3 linked regions of the Rattus norvegicus genome follow. The protein of the gene in region 3 interacts with the protein of the main gene of each other region in a biochemical or structural test. Links are inferred from orthologs where the notes say so. Each region holds a gene or a part of one and is shown on either strand. Other genes may lie near its edges.

Evidence for each region.
Region 1: of the proteins of Rig1 (region 3) and Rnf135, one has a biochemical effect on the other in vitro, tested with the Homo sapiens proteins (6 studies listed by BioGRID, with this or other methods). The link is inferred for Rattus norvegicus from reciprocal best matches to the Homo sapiens genes RIGI and RNF135.
Region 2: of the proteins of Rig1 (region 3) and Rnf125, one has a biochemical effect on the other in vitro, tested with the Homo sapiens proteins (3 studies listed by BioGRID and IntAct, with this or other methods). The link is inferred for Rattus norvegicus from reciprocal best matches to the Homo sapiens genes RIGI and RNF125.

Annotation. Positions count from the first base shown.
Region 1 is NC_086028.1:65,673,784-65,680,116, reverse strand, and holds part of Rnf135 (E3 ubiquitin-protein ligase RNF135), read right to left. Parts: exon of another isoform or gene 5,313-6,333; intron 3,666-5,312; coding exon 3,503-3,665; intron 3,380-3,502; exon of another isoform or gene 1-3,379.
Region 2 is NC_086036.1:12,544,838-12,550,246, reverse strand, and holds part of Rnf125 (E3 ubiquitin-protein ligase RNF125), read right to left. Parts: intron 5,367-5,409; coding exon 5,272-5,366; intron 3,958-5,271; coding exon 3,867-3,957; intron 2,105-3,866; coding exon 1,997-2,104; intron 1-1,996. UniProt on the Homo sapiens protein: E3 ubiquitin-protein ligase that mediates ubiquitination and subsequent proteasomal degradation of target proteins, such as RIGI, MAVS/IPS1, IFIH1/MDA5, JAK1 and p53/TP53.
Region 3 is NC_086023.1:60,147,059-60,153,391, reverse strand, and holds part of Rig1 (antiviral innate immune response receptor RIG-I), read left to right. Parts: intron 1-830; coding exon 831-978; intron 979-2,362; coding exon 2,363-2,485; intron 2,486-4,107; coding exon 4,108-4,215; intron 4,216-4,588; coding exon 4,589-4,742; intron 4,743-6,004; coding exon 6,005-6,263; intron 6,264-6,333.

The sequences.
Region 1 (6,333 bases), on a different chromosome or scaffold from region 3:
GATAGAGACTCTTGCTATGATGAAACGCCATAACCAAAAGCAAGTTGGAAAGGAAGGAGTTTATTTGGCTTATAGATCCATGTTGCTGTTCATCATCAAAAGATGGAAGGAAGGAAAGAAGGGAGGAAGGAAGGAAAGAAGGGAGGAACAAAGGAGGAAAGGAAGGATGGGAGGGAGGAAGGCAGGGAAGGAGGGAGGAAGGGAAGAAGGACAGGAGGGAGGGAGGGAGGGAGGGAGATGCAGACAGAAAACCAAATCTGAATTCTGGAACATATACAACTGAGGCCCTTTATTTCTCAAGCTAACTTCTGGAACAACTAATAAACATTATTGAAGAGACCATGCCTTTTCTATTTAAACAGAACACCTTTTAATGCAAAGTGGTGTTATTTAAATGCAGAAGGCAACTGGAGAGAGCAGCAAGGAGCACTTGGGACGCCCTGCAGTCTACCCTCAATAGCACCAAGACAAAAATCTAACTGAATGTTAAAAAGCTATAATAAGATACATATTCCTAAGTACATAAAGCAGGAGCCATGAGGAGTAGAGTTTTGAAGGCCAGGGCCAATGTCTAATGCCTGACAGGCATCATTACTGAATTCTAATGTAAGTCAAGAGAACAAGAGGGAAAAATGGTCCCTTTGCACTGGTACTATTTAGTGTAAATACATTCCCCAAATACAATAGAGATGCTTTTTCCTCCCTGAGACAGGATCTTACTATGAACTCTAAGAACTCATAGAGACCCACTTGCCTCTGCCTCTTGAGTTCTGGAATTGAAGTTGTGTGCCCCTAAACTCAGGCATAACTGTCTTTTTGATAGGCTCTATTGAGAAGTAGAGCTGGGTGTGGTCGCTCACACCTTTAATTCCAGCACTCAAAAGCTTGCCGAGTTCAAGGCCAGCTTGGACTGTAGTCCAATGTAGTCCAATGTATGGCAAACTCCAGGACAGGGAGGAATACAAAGAGAAACCCTGTCCCAAAAACACAAAACAAACAAAGTTAATTGTATAGTTTCATGCCCGTTTTCCTTTTTACTGCTATCCCTCCCCCAACACCCTGACCCACACTCTTTCTGAGACAGGGTCCCTCTCATGTACTCCAAGTTGGCCTTGAACTGAGGCTCCCACCTCCACCTCCCAAGGGCCGGGGTTGGAGGTAGGTACTGCTGTGCTTAGTTTCATGCCTTGTTGATAAAAACATTTACTAACTAGGAGGTAAAAAGGAAGCTGATGAGATGGCTCAGTGGGTAAAAGTACTTGCCATCAAGCTTGATGATCTCGGTTCAGCACCCACATATTATGCTCCCCAAATTATCCTCCTACTCATGCACACAGATTGTGGCAAATGTGTTCAGAAGATCATAGGCACGAATACACACATACACAATGAATAGTGAATAAACAAACAAACACATAAAGAATTTTTTTCTTAAAAAGACATAAAATAAAAAGCAGTCAGGCAAGGTGGAAGATACGGTGAAGTCCAGCTATTCAGAAGGCAAGAGGATCACATAAGCCTAGGAGTTTGAGGTCAGCTTGGGCAACGTAAAGAAATCTCATCTCAGAAATGAAAACAGGGTGGGTGGTGGGTGGGGGTGGGGCCTGGAGAGATGGCTCGGTGGTTAAGAGCAGTGACTGCTCTTCCAGAGGTCTTGAGTTCAATTCCCAGCAACCACATGGTGGCTCACAACCATCTGTAATGGGATCTGATGCCCTCTTCTGGTGTGTCTGAAGACAGCTACAGAATACTCACATAAATAAATTAAAAAATTTTTAAAGAATGAAAACAGGGGCTGTAGAGATGGCCCAGCAGTTAAGAGCACTTGTGGCTCATGTTGAAGACCCTTGTTTGGACTCCAGCACCCATATAGTGGCTCACAACCATCCCTAAGTGTAGTAGCAGGGGGATCTGAGGCCCTCTCCATTTTCTGACCTCTGAAGGCACTAAACATACACGAAGTGTCTTAGATATACATGCAGACAAAACACCCATACACACAAATAAATCTAAAAGCAATGAAATCAGGAACCAGACAGATGGTTCAATGGGTAAAGGCACCTGTTGCTAACCCAACAGCCTGAGCTGGTTAGAGAATCAATTCCTGCAAGTTGTCTTGACTTCCCCCCCCCCCCACAGGCTCAGCACACACATGACCACCACAACGTGTGAGTAAATATAAAAACAAAAAGCCCAAGTCAGCCTGTCTGCAATCTCCTCGGGCCAAAACCAAAGGTAAGCCATACCTAGGATCAGGGTTCACACATCTTAAAAATAGGAGTTTTGCTTCACTTGGGGCCTATGTCACAGAAAACACCTTGAGTTCATATCCCAAAGTGTACACAGCCACCGCCATGGCTTGGCTCACTCCTACTCAGCTTATACAAGCACAGTGAAAACAGCCATGCATCAGATCCTTAGAATGGAGGAAGAGCTGGGCAAAAAAGCCAAGTTTTCTGGCAGGCCCTTCAGGAACCCACTGGCCAAGTAAGGCATGAACTGGAGATCCCTGGGGCTACCAGATCCTCTGTCCTTGGTGTTACCCAGGCTGCTCAAAGCCAGCCCAGTGATTGCCCCTCCCGATGCTACTGCTTCCTTAGATGTCCACCCCTGACCACCTGGAGCCCTGCTGGAGCCCCCAGCTCTGTAATCGTGTGATCGATCGGTCTGAATCATTGTTTCTGTCACCTGACTTCCCAGTTAGTGTCTGGGACCCTCATAACTCCAGTGTAATCCCTTGGGTGCCCACCGTCAAGACTCCCCCAGTGGTTTACATGCAAAAATAAAAGCCGCAGAAACCCCCAAAACCCCCGAAATAAAAGAAAACAGCCATGTTCTGAGTCCTGTCCCCAAAGAATGAAGCAACTTTGCCATTCCTGCCCAAATGAAGAGGCAACTTCCGGTTTCCTTGGGTAGTTATGTCAAATGGTGTTTTGCTAAAGCAGATACGTGAAAGGACAGATGATGTCTAGAAGGAAAATAAATATAACCCAACAGACAGTGGACGACCCTGGATGGTGTTGCTGTGCCTTACTCTTCACTGGTCTTCACTTCCTTGGGAGAGGCACAGCAGAGAACTTCTCCTGGCATCCCTGCTGGCCCTGGTTGCCCCTGTTGACGCATGCTGATTCCTGTTTGCTATCCTGACACCACTGAACTAGGCTGCTGGTATCCTGACAGATGGATATTGAAACTGCCCCAAGGAACAGCACCAAGCAGAACATCATGGTTTCTTCTGGATCGACCTGCTGTTGCCAAATCGTGACTGGTGTTCATGAGCGCATCCGACTACTACTGCTGACTCCGTGAACTGAACCGCTGATACCCTGACAACACAGACTGGATTTGCTCCAACAACTTTTCCTTTCCACCACCTCTGGTAAGTGGTGGGCCAGAAGGGAAGTTAAAGCATTTAATAAGCCTTATTAAAAGTAGGTTTTGAAAAGTATAAGCCTAGACCCAACTTCCTTAATCGGTCCTGTTCTACTAATTATCCGCTCACCCTCAACTTGTTTTTTAGGAGCTTCGTTCCCCGTGACACTCCCTTGCAGGGTTTCCTGAATTTTTTCTAGGTCACGGAGAATCTCCTGAATTTTCTTCTGAGACGCACTGAAAGTCACCAGCTTTGGAGAATCCAAGGGATATTCCTCCTCAGAGGAAGAATCCTGTTGGTCAAGGAAGAATGGACAATGAAATGAAGTGAAAACCAACTGAGGAACTCATAAAATACACCCAAGCTCTGCCTTCCAGCTGTAATTTTTTTTTTTCTTTTTTTTCCGGAGCTGGGGACCGAACCCAGGGCCTTGCGCTTCCTAGGCAAGCGCTCTACCACTGAGCTAAATCCCCAGCCCCCAGCTGTAATTTTAAATGGAAGTATTAACAGGCTTTGTTTTATTTTATTGTTTTGTTTTGGAGACCGGGCTTCTCTGTGTAGGCCAGGCTGCCTCAGACTCAAGAGGTCCACCTGCCTCTGCCTACTGAGTGCTGAAATGAAAAAGCAGCAGCACCACCTCCAGGCAGTATTCTTTCTGGGGAGTTGGAGTTACAGTTAATTGTGAGCTACCACGTGGGGACTGAAGATCAACCCCAGTTCATCTAGAAAAGCAAATGCTTTTAACTGCTGAGCTCTATTTCTGGCCCCATTTTACGCACAATTCATTGCTTGCTTGCTTGCTTGTTTGTTTTTCAACAGGGTTCCTCTGTGTAGCCCTGGCTGTCCTGGAACTTGCTTTGTAGCCCAGGCTGGACTCAGACTCAGAGGGATCTACCTGCCTCTGGGTAGATCTGCCAAGTGCTGGGATTAAGGGGCATATGCCACCACACCCAGCGATTATTTATTTCTTAATGTATTTTTTTATGGTGCTAGGAATCAAATCCAGACTCGTTCATGAACCCTATTAAGCTATATCCCAATCTATAAGGTTCTTTTTATTTTATTTTATATGTTTTTTGATGTGTGTGTGTGTGTGTGTGTGTGTGTGTGTGTGTGTGTGTGTGTGGTATGTGTGCACATGGAAAACAATGTCAGGTGTCCTGCTCTGTCACTCTCCACTCTATTCCCTTGAGACAGGGTCTCTCATTGATCCGGAGCCAGGCCGATGGTCACAGTAATCTCACTCCTCCAGCCACAGCACGCTCACTTGTAACCCCTTTTCTAATATCTCAGTAAGATCACAGTGGCTCGCTGGTTCCAACAGATGTCCCTGGTTCCAGGAGAGACCCTGCCTCAAAGGAATAGGCAGACAGTAATAGAAGAAGTTACCTGATACCTTCTTCATGGCCCTGAGTACACAAGTCAGAAGGTTGCAGCTGTAGTAACTGATAAAACAAACATAAAGGCATGTGAGGGGCTGGAGAGATGGCTCAGTGGTTAAGAGCACTGACTGCTCTTCCAGAGGTCCTGAGTTCAAATCCCAGCAACCACATGGTGGCTCACAACCATCTGTAATGGGATCTGATGCCCTCTTCTGGTGTGTCTGAAGACAGCTACAGTGTACATACATACGTAAAATAAATAAATCTTAAAAAAAAAAAAAAGGCATGTGAAATCTTAAGAGTCTCTGACAGGGAGTTTGATTCATTCAAGGAAATCGGTGAAGGCTACTCTCCCAGAGGGCGATGATTTAGGGGACTGGGAGGCAGTGAGGCCTTCAGCAGGTGAGTGGAGCAAGGTTGTCAGGGTTGCTGGAAGCACAGTCCCATTCCTTTCTCCCCCGCCTTGGGGTTGTGAGGCTCTGCCCTACCACATATTCCTGCCAGTGCCCCTGGACTCCTATACATAGTGACCTAAAATAAACTTTTTTCCATTTCAGAAGCCGGTTATCACTGTTATTCAGACATCGTCAGAGTATTTCAGGTGGATGAGTTAGATGAAGAAAGCTAACTAAGATAAAGTGGAACATCTGTAGGGCTACGATGACAACCCAGGCAAGAGACTGTCATCGGCCTGGACTTGAGAAGTCTCAGAGGAGCTCAGGCATGAGTAGAGCTGGAAGATCTTCAGCTGGCCTTGGAGCTACAGTGCTCTGCTAGGCAGGTTAAGGCACAGGAAGTGTCATGACTTCCAGGCTTTTGACTTGTGTGTTTGGAAGAATGAGACCAAGACAGTGATGGAGACTCCCCAGAGGAACTGCGCTGTATTGGAGACAGCCAGAAGGAAACGTTGAGAAACGAAGTGGAAGCTTCTAGGTCTTTGGAAACTTATGTCAAATGATTGTTTGCTGGGGCTCACAGGTGGAAGGATGTCTTGCTAAAGCAAACATGTGAGAGACTGTTGTCCTGAAGCAGACACAGGTGAAAGGACGCTTGACGAAGGAGTATCAATGTGGCCCCATAGACAGTGGAGACAAGCACTGTATGTTTGCCTTACATAGCACTGCTGAGCTCAACTTGTGATACACAGCCATTGAGAGAAGCTCTCCCAAGAACTGTTTCCAAGGGCTGGAGATGGCTCAGTGGTTAAGAGCACTGACTGCTCTTCCAGAGGGCCTGAGTTCAATTCCCAGCAACCACATGGTGGCTCACAACCATCTGCAGTGGGATCCAATGCCCTCTTCTCATGTGTCTGAAGTCAGCTACAGTGTACTCACGTGCATACAATAAATAAATAAATAAATAAATAAATAAATAAATAAATAAATAAATAGTAGGTTGCAAAAACTGCATACCTACAGAGAAACAGGAAAGGAGGGTCAGGAGTTCATGGCCAGCTCTCATTATATACTGAATTCAAGGCCAGTCTGGGCTAGAGATCCTACCACATAAAACAAAAGCAAATAAAGCAACTGGGGACTGAGCGTAGTGGAACTCGGGAGGATTCAGGAGGCTGGTACA
Region 2 (5,409 bases), on a different chromosome or scaffold from region 3:
ACTGGGAGGAACAGCACAATGCAATGTTCATTGCTCAGGAAATAAATCCTCTGTTACATGGCCTATCCAACTTTTCCAGAAGCTTGTCATAGAACTTACTTTGAGGTTACTGTTTCCTGTTTGACTTCCATGGCCTTTCAACTGTTGTTATCAAGTCTTTTTTTTTCCCTTTAATATTTATTTATTTATTTTATGCATATGAGTGCACTGTAGCTGTCTTCAGACATACCAGAAGAGGGCATCAGATCTCATTACAGATGGTTGTGAGCCACCGTGTGGATGCTGGGAATTGAACTCAGGACTTCTAGATGAGCAGTCAGTGCTCTTAACTTCTGAGACATCTCTCCAGCCCTTGCTACAAGTCTTAATGAATGACTTATAGTGAACTAGACACCTGGGTTGGAAATATGTCTCAGTGGTTAAGACCACATAGTGCTCTTCCTGGGGACCCTAGCTCATTTCCTAGCCCCCAAATGTGATGGCTAAAAAACTCCATTTGTCCTAGGCATCCATGTTGGTACCTAATAGCTGTTTGTCTCTTACTTAAGTTCCTGACAACCCTGACTCCTTGACCCCCACCCAGAAATGTATGGCCGTGACCATCTGCTTGTTATGCTATGACCAGCTGCTGATTCTGGCTTCTGTAATCTGCCTATGCAGACATCAAGGTCACCTTGACCATATAATCTTGGCAGAGCAGAACAGCTCTTGTAGTTTACACCTTTAAAAGCTCTTTCTGCATCTGCTTCTGCGTGGTCAGGTTAGAGACTGTAGGCCTTGCTCGTAGCCTTAATAAATTTGCTTTAATTATAATCTGAATTATGTCTGTAGGTCTTTCCCCAGTGGTCATGAACTCCACAATAGCACATACCCACCAGGGAATCTGATGCCCACATTTGACTGCCTTGGGCACTCCCTCCCCACATACACATATACATGTAAATAAAAAGTACATTAAAACTTAAAGATTTAGAAAAATAAAAGAAAGAAATTCTGGTCAAGATGTTACCTATATTTCATGCATATCAGGAATAAAGTTACACATTCCTGCTAGTTTTCTAGTGACAGAGTTGAATAACTAGTATTTTCCTAGAATGGTCAAGACCCTAGGGTTGATCTCTAGCATTGGACAAAAAAATAAGGCTACCTCTAGGATTCAGAATGCTAACAGTGGGCTGGAGAAATGGTTCAGTGCTTAAGAACACTGGCTGGACTTCCAGAGTTCCCCAGTTCAATTCCCAGCAACCACATGGTGGCTCACAACCATTTGTAATGTAATCTGCTGCCCTCTTCTGGTGTGTCAGAAGATAGCAACAGTGTACTCATAAAAAGAATGCTAAGGGGCTGGAGAGATGGCTCAGCAGTTAAGAGCATCCGACTACTCTTCCAGAAGTCCTGAGTTCAATTCCCAGCAACCACATGGTGGCTCACAACCATCTGTAAAGAGATCCGATGTCCTCTTCTGGTGTGTCTGAAGACAGCTACAGTGTACTTATATATAATAAATGAATTAATCTTTAAAAAAAAGAATGCGAAGTTATATTTATTTTTCATTTATGGAGAGAAAATGTAAGTAAAATGTCCTTCTCGCTTCATTTTACTTTTTAAAGTGAAATGTAGACTTCATATCAGCTCTACTATAAATAAAACAAAAAATGGCCGCTCCGGCTCATTTTTTGTCTGTTGATATAGTAACTTATCATGAGGCCCTGGCTGGCCTGGAGCTCACTATGTAGACCAGGCTAACTCAGAGAGCTCACCTGCCTCTGCCTCACAAGTGCTGGGATCAAAAGTATGCACCATCGCAGCTGATTAAAGAAGACTGCTTCAACATTAGTAGTCAGTTTTACAAAGCACTTGACTGTCAGGACTTTCTCCTTAATGCCAGTACTTAACGCTCACTTTTTCTTGCATACTTTTACCCATGGGGATTATAAAGAGTAAGTTTAACGCAGATTGCACAGAAATATAATGTAAAGGGTAGATATATACTTACTATGAAATCGTCGTAAAACAAAGTGTGGCTGACTTGCAAATGTCTAATTAAACTGCCACTGAAGGTACTTGGGCTTTCATTGGGTTGTGAATGGCAAAGTGGGCAGAACTGGAAAGAAGGAAAGACAAGTAGTTCAATAACAAGTTTTAAATAATTATCAATGCTAGATTTTTAAAGAACTCACCATTGAATATGAATCTTAACTATGAATCTGTTGGACACACATCAACATTGTTGGTTTAGTTTCATGGTGTGTGATGTGTGTGTGTTCATGTGTTTGTGTGTATATGTACAGGGTCATGTGTGCGCATGTCTGCGTGGAGGTCAGAGGTCAGAGGTAAATGCCCTCAGTTATTCTCACCCTGTGTTTTTAATTTATTTTTATTTTTCGTTTCCACTTCATATATTTAAGTTGTCATCCTTTTTTAAAGGACTTTATTTAAAATGATTTACTGACTTTTATTTTATGTGTGTGAGTGTTGGCCTGCATGTATAATATGTGTATCACATGTATGATGTGTGTGCCACATCCATGCCGGGTCCCATGGACCCTGGAAGAGAACATCAGGTATCCTGAAACCAGAGATAAAGATTGCTGCAGGATACCACATAGGTAGGTGCTGGGCCTGGAACTCTGGTCCTCTGTAAGAGCAGCAAGTGTTTCTAAACACTGACCCAGCTCTTCAGCCCCTCTTTCAATATATTTTTTGAGCCAGAGCTTCTCATTGAGGCTGAAGCTAAGCATTTAGTCTAGGTTAGCTGGCTGGTCAGCAAGTTCCAGCAATCTACCTTCTCTGTACTCCTTCCTAGTCCTGGGGCTACAGCAGGTTTTAGGGGAGCACTGGGGATCAGAACTCTGCTCTTCCTGCTAGTGTGCAGGCATTCTACTGACTAAGGTTTTTAGTGACTGAAAACCCAGCACTGTTTGGTTTTGTTTCTCACATAGCTAAAGCAAGCTTTCAATTCACTGTGGCTAAGGCTAGACTTAAACACCTGTCTACTACTATGCTTGGCTCAATAACAAAATTTATATTTTTAGCCAGGAAGATCTGAGTTCAAGACCAGTCTGGTCTACAAAGAAAGTTCGAGGTCAGCTAGCGCTACACAGTTAGCCCTCTCTTCATCTGAGTATCTTCCCCCACCCACCATCCCGCTCCTCTCTCTCTCTCTCTCTCTCTCTCTCTCTCTCTCTCTCTCTCTCTCTCTCTCTCTCTGGTTTTTCAAGACAGAGTTTCTTTGTGTAGCCCTCGCTGTCCTGGAACTCACTCTGTAGACCAGGCTGGCCTCAAACTCAAGAGATCCACCTCCCTTTGCCTCCCAAGTACTGGGATTAATGGCATGGGTCACCATTGCTTGGCTATCTTTTTCTTAACAATTAAAAAAATGTATAGGGTATCACAGTTGTAGAACTACGAACCTGAAAAATCACCATGTAGTCCAGGCTAGTCCTAAACTCACAAGATTCCACATGCTTTTCCCTTCCAAAGGCCTGTAGCATCATGCCCAGCCACACAATATCAAAGAAAGTTTCTCGGAGCTGGTGAAAAGCTTAGAGGGACGCCAGTTGTGCCAAAAGTTCCCTCATCCCAACTTGTGAACTGTGTGTAATAAATACATGTAGTAATTTTAAAAACTGGAAAATAAGTAAGCAGACTTCCTGATGAACCGTTTCTCCGTGGGAGGAGCAGATACAGTTCCAATCCTGTAGCCCAGGCTGGCATGAACTCTCTGTGTAGCCCGGGTTTGCCTCAAACCTACAGCACCTGTCCTTCATCACCTCTCAAGTGCTGAGATCACAGGCATGAGCCACCTAAACTCCAACGCTGCCGACAGACAGACAGACAGACAGACGGTAGATCAGAATCATTACCACAGGCCTCCTTTCTGATCTGTGGTGGATAATACAATGATCCAGCAAGCAGTCTTCATCCAGTTCTCTCTGACAAAATGGACACACGCATCTGGAAATAGCACAGAATCACAATCACTTAAATAGTGGTCAGCTAGAACGGCTACCTAGTTAGAAATTTCAAAAAGAAAAGAGTTGTATAGACCACAGCTAGGTTAGTCCCCCTCCCCTTTTTTTTCCAGAGCTGAGGACTGAACCCAGGGCCTTGCGCTTGCTAGGCAAGTGCTCAAGTGCTCTACCACTAAGCTAAACCCCCAACCCCTAGTTCCTTTTTTTTTTTTCCCCTAAGGATCAGGTTCTCACTACACAGACCAGGCTTGCCTTGGTCCTCCTGCTTCTATCTCCTAAGTGCCAGGATTATGGTTGTACACCACCACATGTAGCTTGCTTTTCTGTTTTAAGACAAGAGTCTTGCCATGTAGCTCAGGCTTTCCCCAAGCTCTCAGCAATCCCTCTGCCTCAGCCTCCCGGAATGCTGCGATTACAGGCACGTCATCACACTGGGATGAGGTTTTGTTTGGATCTCCTTGTGTTGTTCAAACTGTCCTCAAAGTTACTACACAGTCCTCCTGCTGGCTTGACTTCCTGCATACTGGTTATACTCATGCGCCACTGAGCTTAGTTTTACAATTCCTTGTTATGATTTTAATTAGCAAAAGAAATTAAAGTCAGTTCCCGTGTATTTTAAATTTTTCATAAACTCCATGAACTTGCAGTCAAAGCCATATTTTCTCAACTTATTTTTTAGCCTTTCTTCCTCCCCCCTGGTCAATCTAGCAGAAGCTGTACTCTGTTTACAGCAAAAAAAAAAAAAAATACTCAATTTAAAATTCATGGCACCATCTGTAAAGCAAACCCTGGGATGACAGGTGCATTAGCAGGGCAATTTCAAGTAAAGTGAAAGGAACAGAGGAGTCTTTGGATTTCTAGGTTAAGATGCATGCATTTGAGGCTGGAGAGGCGGCTCAGTGGTTAAAAGCACTGGCTGCTCTTGCAGAGGACTCGGGTTCAGTCCCCAGTACCCACGTGGGGTTCAAAACTGTTCGTAACTCCACTCCCAGGGCAGTCAACAGTCTCTGACCTCTACAGGATCCTGCACCAGCATGGTGCCGACATATACTTGGGTACACACACACACACACACACACACACACACACACACACACACACACATTAAAAAAAGAATAAAGGTAAGACTTGGGTACTGAAATCCCATTTTGAGTGGCTTTCCTCACAGGAGTACCTCACTCTGTAGCCCAGGATGGCCTCAAAGCCACAACTCTTGCCTCGGCCTCCCAAGTGCTGGCCTTAAATTCCTCATAGACACGCTGAATTTAGCATGGCGCTCTACTGTATTCAAACAAACCTTGCAGTGGTCTCTCCAAGCTCTTGCAGTGGGCCATATTTATCGATGTACTTCTCACACGTCCTAATGTGCGCCCTCATGTCACTGAGGCAGACCTACACAAAGCAAACTCAAGATAAAACTCCTGTTGGCCAGGGC
Region 3 (6,333 bases):
CATAAAAGCTCTCATCTAGAAGACATAATGACTAGAATAGAATTTTTAAAGTGAATGGGGTAATTTTCTGTGCAAGACTATTGGAAAATTGACCTATTTGCAGTTCAAGTTGCCCCCTTACCTTTTCTTTGAATAGTGTTTTATGCACATGCAAATCACGTCAAGCAGGGCAACAAATGAAAAGAAAAATAGGCCAGGCTCTGGCGTGTAGCTACATTTATTACAGTCTCTCAGTCCCTTAACTAGTGTTCGGCAATCCATTTAGCTTCTCTAAGAAGCTAATGGAAGAAAAATGTACCTTATTAGCATGCTCTTAGGGTGAAACGAGACGGTGCGCACTAAGTATATCTGCCAGTTTGATGCATAGCAATATATACACCATGCATTTTAGTGATCATTAGAAATAAAAATCATAGAATACCTGCTTTGAAAAAAACCAAACCAAACTGCTGCTGTGTTGTTAGGCGTTTCCAAATGGCTCTGTATGCTGAGATATCCTTAGGGTGAACGGGTCGGTCGTTGTCTGGGTTAACTTTTTACCCTGGGATTGCCAGAGGCAATGGATGTAAGGATTCAGAAGATAACATTTGCCTTGACATATTGATAGCCCGTTATAAAGGACAAAGGTGAAGGGAAGAATAGTTTAAAAGCTAGTGCTGGGTAGGGCAAAAAAAAAAAAAAAAAAAAAAAAAAAAGATGCTAAGGCCCCTCGACCAGAGCTCACAGTGATCTCTACCAAGAACTGCTTGAGTAGATGTGGTTTCTTTAGCAAAGCTTGCAAGGAGAAAGGCTGAGCTGGCCAATCAGTGTGGTGCCTTTGTCTCCCCCAGATCTGCTTCACTAAAGGGAGGATGGCGGGTGCGGAGAAGATGGTCCAATGTCTTCTCAGATCCGATAAGGAGAACTGGCCAAAGGTTTTGCAGTTTGCTTTGGAGAAAGACAACAGCAAGTTTAGTGAACTGTGGCTCGTCGATAAAGGTGGGCTGCTCTGAGAAAGAGCTCTGAACCATGCTGGGCCCCACAGTTCTCCCCGACTTTACTTTCCATCAGAGACGCTGTTCACTTCACATACCTCAAGCCGTGGCCCTAGGACACAAGCGGTGGGAAGACACAAGCTGGGTCCTGGGAGGAAGGGAGCTACAAGTCATGGAATTAACCCACCCAGGTCAAAGAATTTGGAGAAGGAAGAATAAAGGCTTCCTGCCGAGATTTATAAGAGTTCTAGACCTAAAGGTTCGAACTGCGAGACTTATCTCCCTGTCAGAGTAGAGGCCGAGCGCTGGGAGTGATAGCTGTTGACTGGTTCTCTTGTCCAGAAGCCATCAGGAACTGAACAGAGCAAGGCGTAAACAGAGATTTGCTGTGATTAAGCCAACCTTATTTGGCTTCCGGAAAGTCACTTCTTGCTTTAAACCAGACCTTGATAAATACCCGAGTTTCTAGGTTCAGTTCTCACCTAGAACATCAGTCATTCCAGAAACTGTCTATGTCATTGGTCAGAGATGAAATCGTGAGTGTCCCTTTAGTGTGCTCAGGAGTGACTCTCCTGCGTCATTGTCCTGAGCTATGGAGTGGGGAGGGACTCCGATTACGCACTGCTAATAGCTGCACGTTCTACACTTGGAGTCTCGTAGTTCTAGGCGACACTGGAATTCAAACACCCAAGTGACCTTCAAACTCAAAATGATTCTTGCTGCTGTTTTAAGCTGACAAAGTGGGGCTGGTGAGATGGCTCAGCTCCTGTCACTGAGCCTGAAGAACCGAGTTCAATGTCTAGGCCCTACATGATAGAGAGAACCAATCCCCAGACAGGGTCCTCCACCTCCGCATACTCACTGTGTCATGTGTGACACACACAATAAACAAATCCATTTCAAAAGTAAATAAAATGTTGAGAAACTGCAAAGCGGGCTGGAGAGATGGCTCAGAGGTTAAGAGCACTGACGGTTCTCCCAGAGGCCCTGAGTTCAAATCCCAGAAACCACATGGTGGCTCGCAACCATCTGCAATGAGATCTGATGCCCTCTTCTGGTGTGTCTGAGGACAGCTACAGTGTACATATATAAATATGATAAATAAATAAATCTTTAAAAAAAAAGAAGGGGTTGGGGATTTAGCTCAGTGGTAGAGCGCTTGCCTAGCAAGCGCAAGGCCCTAGGTTCGGTCCCCAGCTCCGAAAAAAAGAAAAAAAGAAAAAAAGAAAAAAGAAAGAAAGAAAGAAAGAAAGAAAGAAAGAAAGAAACTGTGAAGTCATGGTTATAAGAGCTTTTCGGGGCTTCCTCAACCAAAACCGTAATCACATAGCGTTAAGATTCTAAGCTCTTATTTGTGTTTGTTTGTATGTTTGTTTGTCTTCACAAAGGTGTCAGAAGGGTTGACTGTAAGGCTGTTGAGGATGACGGAACAGAGATGGCCAGCATACAGATTTTCATTCAGGAAGAACCGGAGTGTCAGAATCTCAGTCAGAATCCCGGCCCTCCTTCAGGTACCCAGCATCACTTGTTCTTGTCCATGATGGTGTTTCCCCAGCACTTTGAAGCCTTTTGAAAAAAAAAAATCCTTTTTAAGGATGATTGAGAAAAGAAAGAGAATTTGTGGGGCGATAGAGACTTATAATCAGAATTCTGGTTCCCGTCTTCCATAGCCTCTGCTGCTTTTATAGCCTTCTACCCTGGAGTATATGTGTCTTTATATGTACCACCGTGCCCGTGGCATCCCAAAGCAGCTTTTCTCTCTGAAGAATACTTGTTTCTGAGCCACTTGTTCAGTCTCGTCTCAGGGTGCCAGGGCTGCCGTCCGAGAGCATGAGGTGACTGTGTGGCCGCTGTTTGCAGCCTCTGTGTGTGGGCTCACAGTAACTTCTCACACACAGGCTACTGTTCTGTTACCTGTGGTTGGACGAGGGCCCTAATGCTCCTTGAAATACACCTTTATTATAAAGAGACTAGAGGGCTAGAGAGATGGCTCAGTGGTTAAGGGCACTGACTGCTCTTCTAGAGGTCCTGAGTTCAAATCCCAGCAACCACATGGTGGCTCACAACCATCTGTAATGGGATCTGATGCCCTCTTCTGGTGTGTCTGAAGACAGTGACAGTGTACTCACATACATAGCATTAATTAAAAAAAAAAAAAAAAAAGAGAGAGAGAGAGACCAGAAAGTTGTAAGACAACTTTCAAACAAACAAAACATTTGTAAAAAATATATATCAGGAAGGAGATATATTAATGATGAATAGTGTTAAAAGATGTGATTTCTTAAAAACAGTATATATATGTGTACACACACACACACACACACACACACACACACACACACACACCACACACACACACATCTTACAAATGATGTCAGCAAGTGAATGACACAGGTTTTCATCCTAGGGATACACAGTCGATTTAAATATTTCGGACACACAGTGATCCATACATGACTTTTAAACAAAGGCGATTTTCTTCACCTAGAAAGTCTTTCTTTACAGTGGGACGGTTAGACACTCAGTTGCTTTGAGAACCTGGTGCCAACAGCTGGTTTTCTGGCTGTTTTTGAAGATCTGTTCTTACTTTGTAACAAGTGGCTATGTTCTGAATTAGGCCATTCTTGCTTTCCTTTTTCTTAGTAATGTTTCCATGATTAAGAAAGAAGTCACGGGGCTGGAGAGATGGCTCAGCATTTAAGGGCACTGACTGATCTTCCAGAGGTCATGAGTTCAATTCCTAGCAACCACATGATGGCTCATGAACATCTGTAATGGGATCTGATGCCCTCTTCTGGTGTGTCTGAAGACAGTGACAGTGTACTCATACACATAAAATAAAATAAATAAATGAATCTTTAAAAAGGAAGGAAGGAAGGAAGGGAGAGAGAGAGAGAGAGAGAGAGAGAGAGAGAGAGAGAGGAAGAATAATTCACTTTGGCCTTTCCCCTGCCTCCTTGCTGTTGATACTTTGTCATTGAGAGAGTAGAGTGTCCTTCAAAGGGGAAAGTGGGACAATTATTAAGAAGCAAGATCCCAAACCTCCTCAAATGGGGCATTGTTGCTAGGATCAGAACTCAGGTCCACTGAATGGCACAAACCCTTCAATAACTCTGTCCCTTCTGTATTACAGAAGCGTCTCCTAATAATTCACACAGCCCATTGAAACCAAGAAATTACCAACTGGAGCTTGCCCTGCCTGCCAAGAAAGGGAAAAATACAGTAATATGTGCTCCTACTGGTGAGTTAGTTGCTGCAACTCACAGAACCTTCTCTTTGCTTTTTCGTTTCCTTTTGGGTGCTGCAAAGCAAGGGGTTTTTCCGTATTTGCCATTGGGAGAGCTGTCCGGTCAGCAATCTCTCTGTGTTTCTCAAGGAAGCCGGTGGGAGATGAGTGCCCTCTTTTAGTTTGCTTTTGGTCCTTGCTCCTTGAACGCATGTTACTTAGGGAGAAGGTGGCATTTTTAAGCCATGGTTTAAAGTGTCACTGTCTGTGCAGAGGAAGGATTCGTTTATTTGTATCCCAATGGTGATACAGAAGCCAAAAATAATTACCATCCTGGAAAAACAGCTAACACCGCTTATCTCTTTCTTTTTCCTTCCCTTGCTAAAAGGTTGTGGAAAAACCTTTGTGTCGCTTCTCATATGCGAACATCATCTTAAAAACTTTCCGCACGGACAGAAAGGGAAAGTGGTCTTTTTTGCTAACCAGATCCCTGTGTATGAACAGCAGGCCACTGTGTTCTCACGATATTTCGAAAGATTTGGGTATGTACTACGATCAGTCCAACCTCTTTCGTCTTTTGTTTTTATTTTAAATTTCTAGCCTCTTTGTCTGGTTTTGGGGGTTTTGTTGTAGGGTATCACGTAGCTGGGGCTGTCCTCCAACTCACTCTGTAGCTGAGGTTGGCCTAGACGAGATGATCCTTTTGCTTCTACCTTCCAGCGCATTTGGCAGGCCTCGCTGTTCTGTGTTATGATTAAAAGAAAATTACCGGGTTTGGGGATTTAGCTCAGTGGTAGAGCACTTGCCTAGGAAGCGCAAGGCCCTGGGTTCGGTCCCCAGCTCCGGAAAAAAAAAAAAAAAAGAAAGAAAATTACCCCAGACTTAACTTTTAGAAGTAGTTCCTTTGTGGAATAACATTCTTTGTTTAACTTTACCAGAAATGCTAAGCCCTCATGGATTGCTCTGACCATTAATAACTTGGTGGCCAAATTTAACATTTAGGTGATGCACTGGTCTTTTTTTTTTTTTTTTGATTTTATCTTTCTTTTATTGATGAGTATTGCAGAAAACATCACGTTCCTTGTCATTTATAGAATTATTGTGAATATCATCATTATGTCTGATTTTACAGTGATTTTAGATTTTCCGTATAATTTCTCTGCACCCTCTGCTCCTCCCCCATCTCTGATCCCTTTGGTTTGCTTGGATACACAAGCGAGGTCATTTCTGTAGCTTGTGTTCAGGTTTTTTTTAGTACCTTCGTTTACCTCCGTCTTCCTGAAGACAAATGCAACAGAAGTCAATCAACTTCGCCCTGTGGTTGCCCTTACTTGTATCTATAAACTCATCTCCGATCATCAATGGCTTTCTTTTCTTTTCTTTCCATTTTTATTAAATTGGGTATTTCTTATTTACATTTCAAATGTTATTCCCTTTCCCGGTTTCCTGTCTATCAGCCCCCTAACTCCTCCCCCTCCCCTTTTATAAGGTTGTTCCCCTCCCCATCCACCCCCCCCACGCTGGTCATTTTTAATGATTTTATACTTTATTGGCTATTACTCTTTTAAAAATCGTTTATCTTCTAATGACTTGGAACATTGTGATCATTGGATCAGTTAGTTATAACCCCTTGCATTTCCTGGTCCCTGGCTTTGCATCAGGACTGTGAGAAAGCTCGAGTGCTCCTCAGCTGTACTCTTTGGGGCTCGGGGGCGCTTCCTTAATTGCTGCTGTGACCTAGACTTCCACTTTGTCTCTTTGTTCACAACATGGTTGGTGATAAGGGATTTCTGTCACTTCCCAGGTACAATGTCGCCGGCATTTCGGGGGCAACGGCTGATAATGTGTCAGTGCAGCACATCATTGAAAACAATGACATCGTCATCCTGACACCCCAGATTCTTGTGAACAGTCTCAACAATGGAGCCATCCCCTCGCTGTCTGTCTTCACTCTGATGATATTCGACGAGTGTCATAACACCAGCAAACACCACCCGTACAACCAGATCATGTTCAGATACCTAGATCACAAACTCGGAGGGTCACCCGACCCACTGCCTCAGGTATTTCCAGTCAGGTGACTTCTAAGAAGAGCCGCAGTCTTCCAGAGTTCCACTTAGCTGCTCTTCTGTA